3 linked regions of the Saccharomyces cerevisiae S288C genome follow. Changing the gene in region 1 together with any one later gene gives a genetic interaction. Each region holds a gene or a part of one and is shown on either strand. Other genes may lie near its edges.

Region 1 (5,428 bases):
TGTGATTTCCACATTGGCACCATCAACAGTACCAATAATCAAACCACCGTTCATAACAAACTTCATATTAGAAGTACCAGACGCTTCAGTACCAGCAGTAGAAATATGCTCACTCAAGTCACTTGCTGGAATAATGATTTCAGCCTTAGAAACATTATAATCAGCAACAAAGACAACCTTCAACAAATGCTCAATTGACTCGTCGTTATTAACAATGTCAGCAACACAGTTGATCAATTTTATGATCAGCTTAGCCATGTAGTAACCAGGAGCACTCTTACCACCAAAGATTGAAACCTTGCGTGGATATTTCTTGGCAACTTCTTCGATCGAAGCACCGTTCTTCAGCATATTCTTCATTGCCAGGTAACGGTATATAATACCAAAGACGTTTAGCTGTTGACGCTTATATTCATGAATACGTTTAACTTGCATATCAAACAAGGTGTCGTCCAAATACTCTCTGTTAATGATGTCTACTCCATCATTTTCCTTTTTGATTAAATCTACTAATCTGATCTTATTATTAAGCTTGACTTGGTTCCATTTTTTCAAAAACTCCTTATCTTCAACATATTTTCCCAACTGGGTCAGTTTGGCCATGTCCAACAAATACTCCTCTGTTGGATCGTTAAGGGTTTCACTGATCAGTTTAGCCAATGAAGGGTTAGCTTGCTTCAACCATCTCCTTGGTGTGATACCGTTAGTGACATTGACAAACTTTGATGGACCATAGAACTTGACAAAATCTTTAAATATGGTCGTTTTGATTAATTCAGAGTGCAATTCAGCAACACCATTAACCTTGTGTGAACCAACAATAGCCAAAAAGGCCATTCTGATCTGTCTTTCTGGAGAGTTTTCTTCGATGATGGATATACGAGACAAAAGATCAACATCCTTGGGGAATTTTTTGGCCACATCTTGCAAGAAGAACCAGTTGATATCATATATAATTTCCAAATGTCTGGGTAGCAAATGGCCAAAGAGGCCGACGGGCCATTTTTCCAGGGCCTCTTGCATAACAGTGTGGTTAGTATAAGCAAAAGTCTTGGTCACGATGTCCCAAGCCTCGTGCCAATCTAGTTTTTCTAGATCGACCAAAACTCTCTGTAATTCAACGATGGCTAAAGTTGGATGAGTATCATTCAACTGAATAGCCACTTGGTCAGGAAATTCAGTCCATGGCCTCTTGGATTTTTTGAATCTTCTTAAGATGTCGTGTAAGGATGCAGCACACCAGAAGTACTGCTGTTTCAACCTCAACTCCTTACCTTGAGCAAAGTTATCGTTTGGATACAACACAGCGGTTATAGACTCTGCGCGTTGTTGCTGAGCCACAGAGTTTTTATAGTCACCATTATTGAATTTTGCAAAATCAAATTCTGTTGTTGGCCTTGCTTGCCATAGTCTTAAGTTATTTACATTGGAAGTCTTGAAACCCGGAACTGGGAAATCATACGCGACAGCAAGAACTCTTTCCCCACCGATCCATTGTGACGCACTCAGTGTAGTTTTACCGCCTTCTGGTCTATCAACATAACCATAAAAGGTGACAGGAATTTGCACTTCGTTACGTTCAATTTCCCATGGATTACCAGAATTTAACCAGTAATCTGGAGTTTCCACCTGGTAACCGTCAATAATCTTTTGAGCAAAGATACCATACTCATAACGTAGACCATAACCCCAGGCAGGGATGCCTTCCGTTGCCATTGAGTCGACGAAGCAAGCTGCAAGACGACCTAGACCACCATTACCTAAACCTGCGTCCGGTTCTTGGTCCAAGACATCCTCTAACTTGAAACCTAAATCATCCAAAGCCCCTTTAATCATTTCTCTTGGTTTTCCCTTTGAGGCAGCAGGGTCTTCCGGATCTTCAATCTTCATATTAATCAGGGCATTATCCAAAGCCCTACCCATCAAAAACTCCAAAGACAAATAGTAAACTCTCTTTGGGTCTCTTGTGGTGAATTTCTGCTGAGTTTTGTTCCAGTCAATGACCAAATTGTCACGAATACTCATCGAAGCAGCTTCATAAGCAGCCATGTCATCACAATTATATAGGGAACGTGCTAATGTAGTTTCCACATGGTCAATGAATCTATCTTGAAAATCTTCTGCCTTGTTAAATTTTTTGACTTGATGCTTATTCCATAACGCTCTTGACTTTAAAGGAATCATCGTGTCAATTGACTTGATTTCTTGGGGAAGAAACCCCGTAAGTCTCCTTGTAAGCCTTGGGATTTGGTGTGGAGAAGTAGGTTCTTCGGTTATCATATCATTGGTAGTACTAGTACTAGCTGGCGGCATTGTTCAAAATTAAATTAAGTTGAAAGCTGCTTTACTGAAATTGTAATGTAGAGAAGTCAAAAAAGATCCAATTGTTTTTCTTTTGGATATTTTTAGTAATCGTTACCTTCTCAATCTGTGCTTACTTTATATTACAATAGCAAGCAGAAAAAACTTATAATACTTCGTACGTAATCAAAACAAAAGGTACAACAAGAAACGGGAAGGCACAAAGAATCTTGCTTTACTGCTATACAAACTTCATGCTCCTTTTATACATATAATATATTCGTCGGTGTTCCTTCCTTATCTTTGTAGCATGCACATGGTAGTTATTAACCTCCCCTGAAACTTTTTTAGCGAAAATTATCCACCCCTTACTTATTTCCTCGAGAGTCTCTAAAAAGTAAAAATACAATAACGGTAATTGGGGAAGGCGTTCCTTGTTAATTCAAAATGTTATCCTTGAAACATAGAAGGTGCTGGCTGCATCTCGCAGAGCTTCCTCTTCCGTTGAGCGTTGTATTCTTCCCCCCACAGTGCTACTAGGCGATGCCGCTACCCCTTGAAGGGCCTTCCCGCTGTGGGGCAGCGGCCTTTTTTCCTTAGTGGGAAACAAGCACCGGGGTATATTTCATTGTCTATCAGGAGAAGAGATCGTATACAAATGTTCGTGAGACGGTTTCATCTTGACTAGTTGCCTTGCTAGTCGGATAACTAGTGGAAAGCAGTAGGACACTCCCGATGAGTTTGCGTTTCCACGGGGTTTGACAGAGCTACCTATTGTCTTTTTCATCGAAGGAAACGGTAGTTGGACCTTGCCTTGGATAAGTTGGTGAATCATCCAGAGCTTTAGAAGGGAGCAAAAAATAAAATCTGCGCAAGCCCGGAATCGAACCGGGGGCCCAACGATGGCAACGTTGGATTTTACCACTAAACCACTTGCGCTTGTTATTTACATGAGTGTGGTACTTCTATTGATGGTAGGTGTTCCATTACTTTTTTCGTCTTAAGATGAGCGAGCAAACACAGGGAGAAAATAAAGCGCAATTATTTACCTCATAGGGTACACAATATCCGTGAGAAAAGGATGAATTTGAAATAATTATACAGACTCCTTTTTTTTCAACGTAAAATTATAAGCATAGATTAGAGGCGCTCCTGGATAATAATAGGAACACACACAAGTAAATCAGCAATTTCTCATATCGTACTTATTCGGTAGAGTTAATAATATTCTACTAAAATAACTACTGGTAAGTAGTGAGAGCTTGATTTTTGTACTAATAACTTGTTTCAAAAAAAAAAACGAATAATCAGTTTTACAAAAATGTGTATACCTATATAAACAATCTTAGAGGTAAAGTTCTCCCTCACTAAAAATAATAAAAAATTACGTGCAGATGAGAACCCCGTCTTACCTTAGTATACCTTTAGTTCCCTTTATGACCCGATTTGAACGATAAGTCTTTTATATTTTATTTCTTCCTAAAAGAAAAATGTATGCATTGTAAGTAACTTTTTATGACCATGGTAATAATTAAAGCCGAGGGCTTGTAGATTTACCATCAAAATACCCGCTTAAGAGGATAACTTGAACTTCGAGCTAGTACATTTACCAGTTAGGATATTCTTAGGGAACGTGTAACCAGCATCTTCCCAAGTAGTTAAGTTTGCATTCTGGAATGCATTTAAGTGCGATTGAATATAATCATATGTTGGATAGTCACTTGGATCGCATGTCACGGATATAGCATTACTTGGTTGGTATATTCTAACATAGTCAATCGACATAACCACTGGGAAGAAAATATACTGCCAATCAATATAAGCCCAATTGTTGGAAATACCCAGATTTAGAATAATCGACATTGGTTCTTTACTGATTCTTCTCCAACCAATATTACCATCAGGATGTAAGGCTTTAGCATGAATAGTATAAGTTGGAGTATCACCAACAAACCAACGGATATAACCATTGTCGTCATCGTTCAGATACTCAATGGCATATTTTTGAAAGTAGCCACCGTACTCACCGAATTCATACCAAGTTACGTTCAAAGTTGAGACAGCAGATACGGCTTGTTGAAATGGACCGCCAGCATAAGTGTTCATGGTCGTTGTTGTGAAATTGTAAACCTCGATAAAATCATAGTCAGGCATGTACCAGATATCAAAAGGTGCAATTTGCAAGGATTGAGAGGCTATACCTACACCAATCTTAGTATCAGTTTCACCTTCCAAAACATCAATTTCTGGAGCTCCTCTACCAACACCTTGATTCGGATGATCTTCACCATCACAAGTACAAATACTTAACTTTTGTCCCGGCAAGTAAGAAATACCATCCGGGGAACTTTGGTTGGGTGTAATACCAGCATCACACGATTCATAAGAATAAGGCCAGACACCTTGGGTACTAGCCAAATAACCGGGCCTCCCTAAATTACCCATAGTCCAAAGACCGGGCCACAAACCTGAAACACGGCCATAATTTGGTAGATTTGCAGAGATTTCTAGAGCACCCTGCGTGAAACAAACCTTATTCCAACTCTGCAACATACCTGATCTGTAATATAAGCCATGGTTCTTAAAGGCATCCATTCTCAGCTGCAAGGTTCCGTTCACAGTTGTGGAAGCGTCTGGACTGTACCATTCTAAATCCTTAGTAGCATCATAGTGAACATCAGGGGCTGTCCAGTATGGATCATCCCCATCATAAAATGTTCTGCCTTCTGCATTAAACTCATCAGAAAATACTAATTCCCACTTAGAGCCATCCATAGCTTCTCTTGTCTTCGCTGTATCAGGTGTGTCTGGGTCAACCAGAGATGTTCTAATGGCGGATAGTTGAGGATATTGGTATTGAGTTAAATATGTAACTTCTTCAGTGTTGCTTTCGTGATCAATAGCACCGGTAAAGGTCAACGCTGGCAAAACAATAAAAATAAAGATGGCTGCCAGAAACAAGAGCAATACACCAGCTAGCCCACTAGCAGACCTTTTATCCATGTACTTGAAGTCATCTATGAACCTCCTTCTATCCAGTCTTGCCTCTTCTTCGGGGTCAGGATTGTGTAAATAATCATCTTCTTCCTTTTCATCTATCATAAGTGGGAACGATGAAGCAGGATAC
Region 2 (5,805 bases), on another chromosome or scaffold:
GTCAACACTTTATACACTGTGTCTGAAGCTTTGGAAACTGGTATGGTTTCATGTAATACAGGTGTTTTTTCGGATTGTTCTATACCATTTGGTGGTGTTAAAGAGTCAGGATTTGGAAGAGAAGGTTCGCTATATGGTATTGAAGATTACACTGTTTTGAAGACCATCACAATTGGGAATTTGCCAAACAGCATTTAAAGCAATAGTAATCGTGGACGATACTTAGAATTGAATATGATTCTTTGTAATGATTGTATATATCTATTGCATGTATAAATACTCTACTCCTCGTATATAGAAAGTTAAGTAAATTTTTTGAAAGAAAAGAGTTCATATATTTACGGAGTTTTGAAGTTTTTCACAAGCGGAATAAGTGATACCATTCATAAAATATCATATCTATCTATCTATCTATTTTTGTGAGATATATGGTACGAAAATAAATGCCTTTCCTTTTAAGCCTTTCTGTAAGCTTTTATGTATACAACGTTTCTTTATCTTTATTTCGGACCTTGTTTCATGTACTTTTCCTTATAAATCCAATCTGAACCTAATAGATTTGCACCTTTTTTATCGGCTATCCTAAACCATGCAGCAGCTCTGGCGAGATCCCTTTTCTTTACGTTTGAAGTTTTGGACCAAATTGTCCCGCTTAAGCACATTGAGTCTACATGGCCTAATAGAGCAGCTTTTTCCAAAAATTTCAAACCTTTTCGCTCGTCGGGATGATCCATCCCAAGACCCTTTAAATATGCCATACCACATTCGTACAAGGCAGGTGCTGTTGGTTCAGGCGCTATATCAGGGATATCGTCCATTGAAGCAAAATTTAACGGATTTATATCTAAATCAAGAACCTCAGCAGCAAAGGATTTGATATCAGTGGCAGCCATTAAATATCCTAATGATAATTTCAAGTTCTTGTCCACTCCGCAGCCATGTCGCAGGGCTAGTCCATATAACAGAAACGCAGTTTTGTTTCCGCACGCGCAGGCTTTTTTCAGTCGTTGTGCAGATTCTTCAAGTTTGCCTTGATGACGCATAGTAATTGCCTGTCCGATGTGTGAAGATTCATCATTATCATAAGGTTCTGGGTGAAATTTAAGCTTCCCGCACTTGCTTGTTGCGTTCGATCCTTCTTTTTTATGACTGAAGGAATCCATGCATTGCGTCGAATTATTGGGCAACATACCATCTAAAGAAAGTGTTCTTCTTCTAACTTTCGGGTGGTAGGGCTTATTTGATTGTTCTGTTAGTGCACTTAGTTCACCTATTTTTGAATCTTTTTCCGTTGTATGGAAATCCGAGAAAGTTCTCAAATGAGTCCTATTTGGACGTGCTTTACTGTTCTTTTTTTTATCCGTGGATGACTGAGGTGTTGATGCTGTTTTAAAATGGAAAACTGGGTTTGGAGGAAAAATATACCTAGCTAAATGTGGACTGGAATTATTAATGGTACTTGAAGTAGATGGAAGTTGAATATTCTCCCCAGAGAAGTCCAATGAATTGGTGGCAGACCGGATAGGGCTTGATCCTTCAGACTCAAGGTCTTTCTTATTTTTTGCTCTTGTCCTAGGAGATTTAAAAAGTTTTTTTAGCGAATTTAGTGACGTTTTTTTTTTATGAGCTTTATATGGTGGCGTTGGAGGTAATGAAATATCATTTGTCATGGTATTTGTTTTCGTTATCGTCGAGGTAGAGGAATTAGACCGTTTAGGAGATGGTTTGATGGGTGTTGTATCACTCTTAGTTAACTTGAGTTTGGAGAATGAGGATGATTCACTTTCAAAAGAAGACTGAGTTTTCGGCTTTGATAGTTGTCCAACTTCAGAAAAGGAGGTGTTGGTGCTTGTTGAACTTCCGTTCCGATAAAGACAATTACTCTTTTGCGTGGTTGTGAACTCATTGGGGCAACTCTGCTTCTCGGATATTCTGTCAGTTTTTGTAGATGTATTAATATTATTACTAGTAGTTCTGTTATTCTTACTATTAGCATTATTGTCAACGCTAGTATTATTGTCTGATATCAGCGTAGGATAAAGATGGTGCAGTCTAGTATTTTCAATCCTATATTTCTCGAAGTTGAAAGGATTAGGGCTATTTGTGCTTCTATTGCCATTTTCAAGGTTTGGGTACTTATAATCTTTCTCATTTCTATTCATTTGGGGTTTCATGCCACTAAAAGTCTCAGAGTCATAATCTTCTTCGACGATATAAGAGTATCTCGACTTCACGGGCAAATGCCTTTCCACTTTACCGGAAGAGTATTTGCCTCTCAAAGTGGAATCCTTTTCTTTTAAATTGTCTATGATAAGAGAACGATCTCTAGCTTGTATATATGTTGGAGAGGGATTAGTTCTATACCTTAATGAAGGGAATTCCGACGCAGGCATACATAATGTTGGACCACTTGTTTGTGACAGTTGCGAATTTCTCGACGCGTTTTCTTCTTCTAATAAAGCTTCTTGCAGAATCAGTTCATCTTCCAAGCTGAGGTCTAATTTGTCAAGAAGTCTTTCCGTGGTTTGAATAGATTCGAATGAAATGCTACTTTTATTTGAATGAGCATAGCTAAATTGTGAATCCATTGATGACTCGAAGCTATTATTGGGTGGTGGGCTTTGTGAAACCTCTGAAGAGTTAGCTTTTCTTTCTTGATCGTCGCTTCCTATTCGATCAGCCCAAGAAGTGTTTTTTAAATTTTGATTCATTACTTTTCGTGTGACGTAAAAGTCCGTTTGTTTTTCTAGATTTTCTGTTTTTTCTCGAGGCTCCTACAAGTTCCACCTATATTTAGCATTGAGGAACAGAATGTGCTATCGCAAAGAGCAATGGCAACAGAAAAAAAGAGTTGCTAAAGAAGAACTATTTTTGAATGTCCGTGGTAATACAATGGAAGACTACTAGAACACGATGGCAGATAAGGTGATTTGATAATCAAATTCAACGACGGTTGCACCGTTGTTCTTTCTGCCGCTCTTCGTCCGGAGCCTTCTGTGATAATTGTTTTAACGCGCAGAAACACACGCAGGCTGCGTAAAGGAATGGTGGGGCTCGAAGAAGTGACAGTGGGTGTCCACGGAATGTTCTGAGCGCAGGGATCCGGTGTTGCCATCGCACACGATATGAGACGCGTTCATTTTTTCCAGCAGTCACCTAAAAGTTCAAGAAACGCTATGTTGTAATGCAGCTGTATTGTACACTGGCTGGTATTGCCGTTCTGATCTATGACTTACTTGTTAGAGGTAATAGCTGTCTTAGATCGGCTTGCTTCTTCTGACTTCCTTCTTTTTTTTTTTTTTTTCGAAGTGAGGCATGCTGCAGTTTTGTGCAGCTTCTCTTGCATCACTTCCTGTATTATTTACGTTGTTTACATTATCAGGTATTTTGTATTATTTTTTGCGCAACAGCAAGCAAACGCAATAGCGATAAATGCCATAATATAATCAAAATTTAGCAAGGATACATAGCAGCAAACCCGAACCTTTAGGCCTCTCATAGATGAAGAAAATTTGTACAATTCTTTTGGTTCTTTGGCTCTTCAAATATGAATTTATTAAGAGGAAATCCTGAAGCATCAGAACATCGCAAACTTTTTATTCGCAAGAGGATTTATCCTCTGATTAGTTATATATGAATATGTGTTCCTTCTGCATGATTTTGATATCAATAGTATGCATTTTTTTTCGATTCGTCGTAGAAACATAGCTACTCTCATGACCAAATGACTCTTTTTGGCTTTGACAGTGGAACAGCCAAGTTTTTATGTAGAAATATATTATCTGTTAACTGGAAATGATGTCTTAGGCCCATAAAATGTGCTAGAACGTATGGCTAATCCTTTTGCTCTGTATTCAATTGAGTATTTTGCTTAATTTCTATTTGATAATTGAACTTCTTACGTGTATAAATGGTTGCATATTTCTTTAGTAAGTACTATTTTCAAATATGAGTGAAGGATATTGTGGCTCAAGTAATTCCTCTTTCTTTTTTCATCCGTATGGTAAGCAAAGGGTCACAAAGTAACCGATAGTGTGTAGACCTTAGATCTTCCTTCAAAGATTTCAAGTCTGCGATAAATAAACATGAGAATACTTGCAACAACAACTTTTATAAACAATGAAGTTCATTATGAACAGTATTTATTTCACTGCTAAACTTTACGTAAACTTATGTGGAACATCTTTGTCGACAGATGGACGATAAGTAAAATTGTGTTATTATAATTCAAATTTTCATGGTAAGAACATCGGCTTTCTACTCCTCTGTGTACGAAGATCTTGTACGTAATGATGGCCCATACTTATAAAGTATAAACGGGATAATAGCTAGACCTAAAGTTAGGAACCCCACTAAGGACGAACCCCATGCCACAGGATAGTTCTTAGTAGCTAAATTGTCATACATTGCTCTACCAAACAACGGAAAAGCACAGGCAAACGAAGCCCGACAAAAACCATTGCCTGCAAAAACGGATGCAACATACTTTGGGTAGCATGTAGCCAAATATGCAAAAGTTGCTTGGAAAATGTTAAAGACAGCTAAAACAAAAAAAACTTCCGAGATAACTGGCAAAATCCAATGCACTCGAGCAGTCCAACCAAATAAGAACAAAGACAGAGGCAGGCACCAGCAGACACACATTGCCACGATTAAAAAAGCTTCCGGGGTGAATGTGCCGTTTCTAAAACGTGGTACAATAATCCTCATGTTTAAAATACCGAATAAGCCATAAGCAAGTACGCACCCTACGCAAAACCCCATATAGGCCAAGCCAACTTCAACTAAGCTGAAGTGGTATATACCTACAAATACAATAGGGAATGCTTCAAAGAATAAGTAGAAACAACCATAAGCAACAGCGATATAGAGATCAAAAGCCAAAATTGCAGGCTCTTTGATAATCATTTTGAGAGGCCTATACAAAGTATTGATCAAAAAAGTTCTTGCATCAACTTCTCTATCGAGTTTATCCTGTTCAGTATAGTACCTGTCATCACCAGTTTCTTTTCTCAATTTCAAAGCACGGCGGTACAAAATATTATGGTGTTGTGTTTCAGGGAAGAAAAATGCCAACAAGATAAAAGTGGCAGCACTTAACCACATTAATAACCAAAATATGAATCGCCAATTTTTAGCATCGACCATAGCAGCGCCTAGTAAGGGAGCCAAGACTGGCGCAGCAACAGCACCGGCTGACCACATACCTAAAACGAGAGGAACCATTTCTGGTGAAATGATATCAGCCACTGTACCGCCACCAGTGGCCAACGATGGGCTGCACAGTATGCCACTGATGAAACGCATGACGATTAAACCGCCGATGTTATGCACAGTAGCACAACCAACTTGAAAGATCATGAAAAAAAATAAAGTCACCATGTACAGATTTAGACGGCCATAGCGTGCAGTTTCTGATAGCGGTGAAAAAATGATGGGACCTAGACCATAACCAAGAACATATAAAGAAAGATTTAATGTTGCCACTACATGACCAACGTGGAACTCTTCTTGAATATATTCCTGGCCAGGTGTGTAAATGGAGGATCCCATGTACGTGACGCAAGTAAGTAACATTATTTGGAATACTACCAATGATTTTTTCAGTAGGGGCCAGTTTTGTGGGTTCTCAGGATCACTGGGGCCGTTCCAATCCACCCTGAAAGGATCATTTTTTTCGATCTGTGAACCACTAGAGTCTGAATCGGTAGAGGATTCAGAGCACGATCTATTAGGACCGCATTCTATATCATAGTCGGGTTTACATTCTTTTTTATCGGTATTCTCGGGTTTTCTTGTTTCATC
Region 3 (4,636 bases), on another chromosome or scaffold:
CGAAGAAAAAAATAAAAAAAAAGGGCCGACGGAGGGTTAGGTCAAATTAAATATTGAGCTAGGTTTAGTTATCTCTTTTTTAGGTTTTTTATATACAAAAAAGATTATATTTAGGGTACATATGGCTGGAGCATAATGTCTGGAATGGGTATTGCGATTCTTTGCATCGTACGTACAAAGATTTATAGGATAACCATCAGCTTCGATTATTCTACACTGATGAGCCCTTTCTTCTTATTCTTAATGATGCCCACTACATTAAAGGATGGGTACAGGATGAATAGTCAAGTAAATGAAGATGCTATAGGTATCAATCTTGACCTCTCACTGCCCACTCACATTTCGCCTACGACTGGTTCAGAGAGCGCCAGTGGCAGTAACGCCAGTACACTTCGCAACGATGGAAATGCACTAGATGGAGGTCTTTTGAGGACTTCAGCAGCGATTTCAGCACCCACAGGTACCAGTCAACCAACAGAAACTATTGGTGAAAAACTGAGTAATGAAGAGCGGGTGAACTCGAATGTTTCCGCTTCGAACTCGACAACGGCGGGTACAGGGCGTATGTTAAGCCAATCCTTGACTAATGATTCACCGTCGAACGAAATATCGACGGATCAGTTGAAGATTTTTCAAAGAATGGACGAAATGAGTGCCCGAATGATTGAGATGGAGGAAAGCTTCAACAAGTTATCTAATAAGATCGCGGAACAGAATACAATGGTTTTAAACCTAAAACAAGATAACTATAAAGTTATGAACAAATTGAATATATTACTTAAGTTGGTTGCGCAGCCAAGCGCGCGCCCAAGCACAAACAATGCCCAAAATAAGCTTGCTATCGAATTGCTAAATTCGATATCAGCCGTTAGTAGTGCTTACTTGCAGAAAATGCAGAATAATGGCTCTGGTAGACAGCATACTGCTGATTTATGTACAGGAGATTCCAACACCCATTCTGGTATCAACCAGCATCGGACTACGAATGGAACCATAGATGTGAATACGAATACTGCACAGCTAAACAACCAATTTTCTAACGCACTAAATACTATCTTACCTGATCAGCAGCATAATCGAAATAATGTTTCCCAAAATATAAACCAATCGCTCCCTAACCGACAACTTGGTCCTGTTATAAACACACAAGCCAATCAGAACCAGTCGCAGGTTTTAATTCATAACACAAATACACATCAGCAGGTAAATCGCTCGCCTATTAGTTTCCCGAACGCTTCAACTGACAAGCCATTCAAGTTGAACCCAAATGGGATTAAACGGCGCAGAAGAAATACGCAAAGTAACAACAATGCGAGCACAAATGACCATGCTAGTGCTGCACAAAAGCCCATATCAGCCCTATCTCCATTAACGAATTCTCATAATTCTACAACTAGCATGAATTATACCAATTCTTCCATTCATTCAGGCGTCACCAGTGCTTCAAATTCATTTCATGACTTAAATTCATTGAATAACTTTGGCACGACAACAGCTTTAAGTTTGCCCAGCTTAGCCCTAGATAACGCTTCTTTTCCCCCAAATCAAAATGTTATACCCCCTATTATAAATAATACCCAGCAGCCTCTATCATTTTCCCAATTGATCAATCAGGATAGCACGACATCTGAATTGTTACCGAGTGGTAAGTCAGGGGTGAACACGAATATTGTAAATAGAAACAGAGCTTCTACTCTACCGTCGTACCCAAAACCAATGACAGTGAAAAGTAATGTCGACGATGATGGCTATCAAGAGGATGATGATGATGACGGTGATGACGAAGGTGATGGAAGGGATAATGAAGAAGACAGCACTGCTGAGGAAGATGAAGTAGATGATGAAATCGAAACAGATATGAAGAACGCTTCGATTAACAAGCGGAGGAGGAGCTTGCATCATAAAAAAAGTAACTCTTTAAACGGTAGAAGAAAGCTTCACGGCGAGTCGGCTACTAAGCCCAACATAAACTCTGATTTACATTATAGGATATTGAAGGCTCCCACTGACGTAAAGACTATATGGGAAGAGTATGATACTGGAATAAGAGGAAAGCCATCGATCAAGCATCTTGAGGCCAAGTATGGTAACAAGTGGAGGCTCAATAAAAATAAGAAGACCTTTTCAAGGCGAAAAAGATTGTACAAGTTCATTCTGAACGGTATGGAGAGAGGTAAAACGGCACAAGAGATGATAGAAACCTTAGAGAACAAAAGGCTATATAAAGATGATGAGGATGGCGAAGTAAAGAAAAGAACCATTGGCTGGTTGCAAGAGAGCCTTGCTGGAATATAGGCACGTACGATAGTAAATAATCGTTTACAATCATAGGAAGGAAGGAAAAAACAAGTGTAACATAAATACATTCTGTAAATCTACAAAAATCGTTAGTGCTGTTTTCTTTTTGAGATTGAAAAGTACGAATCATACACATCTCTTATTCTGAGAAGGGTGCATATGACGTAAATCAATGCGTACAAAGCGGTTTCCGGTGCTGGCCTGGCCCACCACAGTTTTGGCGTGGTTGATTTTAAAAACCTTCGGGAAGGTGAAAAAACCACTCCGAAGGTTCGAGGATGACAAATCGCCCCTTAGCTGTGGCCATACAAGCTTGGCACCGACGAAAAAGGGAAAAAGGAAAAGAATGTCGTACAAGAACTCTTACAACCACGTTGAGATTTCATTTAACAACGCCCCCCTTTCCATTATATAAGAAGGCATTAATTTTTATGTAATAAAAAAAGAATTTCTCGAAAATGTCTTACAATTAATTTTTTCTTTTGTAGAGTAGGGCTTTAATAGACTGATATATACGGTATTATAAGTGAACGAAAAAAACAGCAATGGGTTTATTTGATAAAGTGAAGCAATTTGCTAACAGCAATAATAACAACAATGATTCTGGCAATAACAATCAAGGCGATTATGTTACCAAAGCTGAGAATATGATCGGCGAAGATAGAGTCAATCAATTCAAAAGCAAAATCGGAGAGGACAGATTTGATAAGATGGAGTCCAAGGTTCGTCAACAATTTTCTAATACCTCTATAAATGACAACGACTCCAACAACAACGACTCATATGGTTCTAATAACAACGATTCATATGGTTCTAACAACAATGATTCATATGGCTCTAACAACAATGATTCATATGGCTCCAACAACAATGATTCATATGGCTCTAACAACGATGATTCCTACGGTTCTTCCAACAAGAAGAAGAGCTCTTATGGTTCTAACAATGACGATTCGTACGGCTCCAGCAACAACAATGACTCTTACGGTTCCAACAACAATGACTCTTACGGTTCCAACAACAATGACTCTTACGGTTCCAACAATGACGACTCTTACGGTTCGTCAAACAAGAATAAGAGCTCTTACGGTTCCAACAATGACGATTCTTATGGCTCTAACAATGATGATTCATATGGTTCTTCCAACAAGAAGAAGAGTTCTTATGGTTCCAGCAACAACGATTCGTATGGTTCTAACAACGATGATTCATATGGTTCTAACAACAATGATTCATATGGCTCTAACAACGATGATTCCTACGGTTCTTCCAACAAGAAGAAGAGCTCTTATGGTTCTAACAATGACGATTCGTACGGCTCCAGCAACAACAATGACTCTTACGGTTCCAACAATGACGACTCTTACGGTTCGTCAAACAAGAATAAGAGCTCTTACGGTTCTTCTAGCAACGATGATTCTTACGGATCTTCCAATAACGACGACTCTTACGGTTCTTCCAACAAGAAGAAGAGTTCTTATGGTTCCAACAATGACGATTCTTATGGCTCTAACAATGATGATTCATATGGTTCTTCCAACAAGAAGAAGAGTTCTTATGGTTCCAGCAACAACGATTCGTATGGTTCTAACAACGATGATTCCTACGGTTCTTCTAACAAAAAGAAGAGTTCTTATGGTTCCAACAACGATGATTCATACGGCTCCAGCAACAACAATGACTCTTACGGTTCCAACAATGACGACTCTTACGGTTCCTCTAATAGAAACAAGAACTCCTATGGGTCTTCCAACTACGGTTCATCCAACAATGATGACTCTTATGGTTCATCTAATAGAGGCGGTCGTAATCAATACGGTGGTGACGACGATTACTAAGTTTTTGGATGTCTTCGATAAAAAAAATATATTATTGTGTTTAGACTTAAGTATGAAAATTTTATGTATGAGCTGTGGCTATGTATCCGCTGGCAAATAGGTCTGCTTTTTCTACACTTTCCACCCTCAACCTAACAGAGCCCGCTGGCACAAATAATCGATAGTAGGACAACAGAGCTACTCCTTCTTATGCCCCGCCCCTTTGAGCTTGTTGTATTGCTCTTGATAGTTGTGTTTTTCACTTTCATCAGCATCGGTAGTCTTGCCGTCCTTGTCTTGACTAGCCATTTTCTTAAAAGCGTCACTCACTACCTTTGCATCGCCCTGCAATTTTTCCTTTGAGCTCTGAAATATTTCGCTCACTTTTTGTTGGTCTGTATTCATTCTGGATGTCTTGGTTGTAGAAATTTCTTTTATTGGTTCATTAAAGTCAAGGTAAATGGCGAGAACTAGAATAGAGTTTTATTCTTTTTACCGTTATATAGATAATTCTAGCCGGG

The links. A genetic interaction does not mean that the proteins touch.
Region 2: mutations in YPR159C-A (region 1) and DSF2 together harm fitness more than expected from each alone (negative genetic interaction), as found in Saccharomyces cerevisiae (one large-scale study listed by BioGRID).
Region 3: mutations in YPR159C-A (region 1) and DDR48 together harm fitness more than expected from each alone (negative genetic interaction), as found in Saccharomyces cerevisiae (one large-scale study listed by BioGRID).

Annotation. Positions count from the first base shown.
Region 1 is NC_001148.4:858,191-863,618, reverse strand, and holds YPR159C-A (uncharacterized protein), read left to right. Parts: upstream 1-3,203; coding exon 3,204-3,305; downstream 3,306-5,428. Other genes in the region: GPH1 (glycogen phosphorylase), read right to left, coding at 1-2,313; beta-glucan synthesis-associated protein KRE6, read right to left, coding at 3,874-5,428.
Region 2 is NC_001134.8:248,306-254,110, forward strand, and holds DSF2 (Dsf2p), read right to left. Parts: upstream 2,712-5,805; coding exon 501-2,711; downstream 1-500. Other genes in the region: UGA2 (succinate-semialdehyde dehydrogenase (NAD(P)(+))), read left to right, coding at 1-198; FLR1 (Flr1p), read right to left, coding at 4,258-5,805.
Region 3 is NC_001145.3:605,846-610,481, forward strand, and holds DDR48 (DNA damage-responsive protein 48), read left to right. Parts: upstream 1-2,843; coding exon 2,844-4,136; downstream 4,137-4,636. Other genes in the region: HOT1 (Hot1p), read left to right, coding at 136-2,295; PAI3 (Pai3p), read right to left, coding at 4,314-4,520. UniProt on the Saccharomyces cerevisiae protein: DNA damage-responsive protein that may be required for maintaining the rate of spontaneous mutagenesis. Shows low ATP and GTP hydrolysis activity.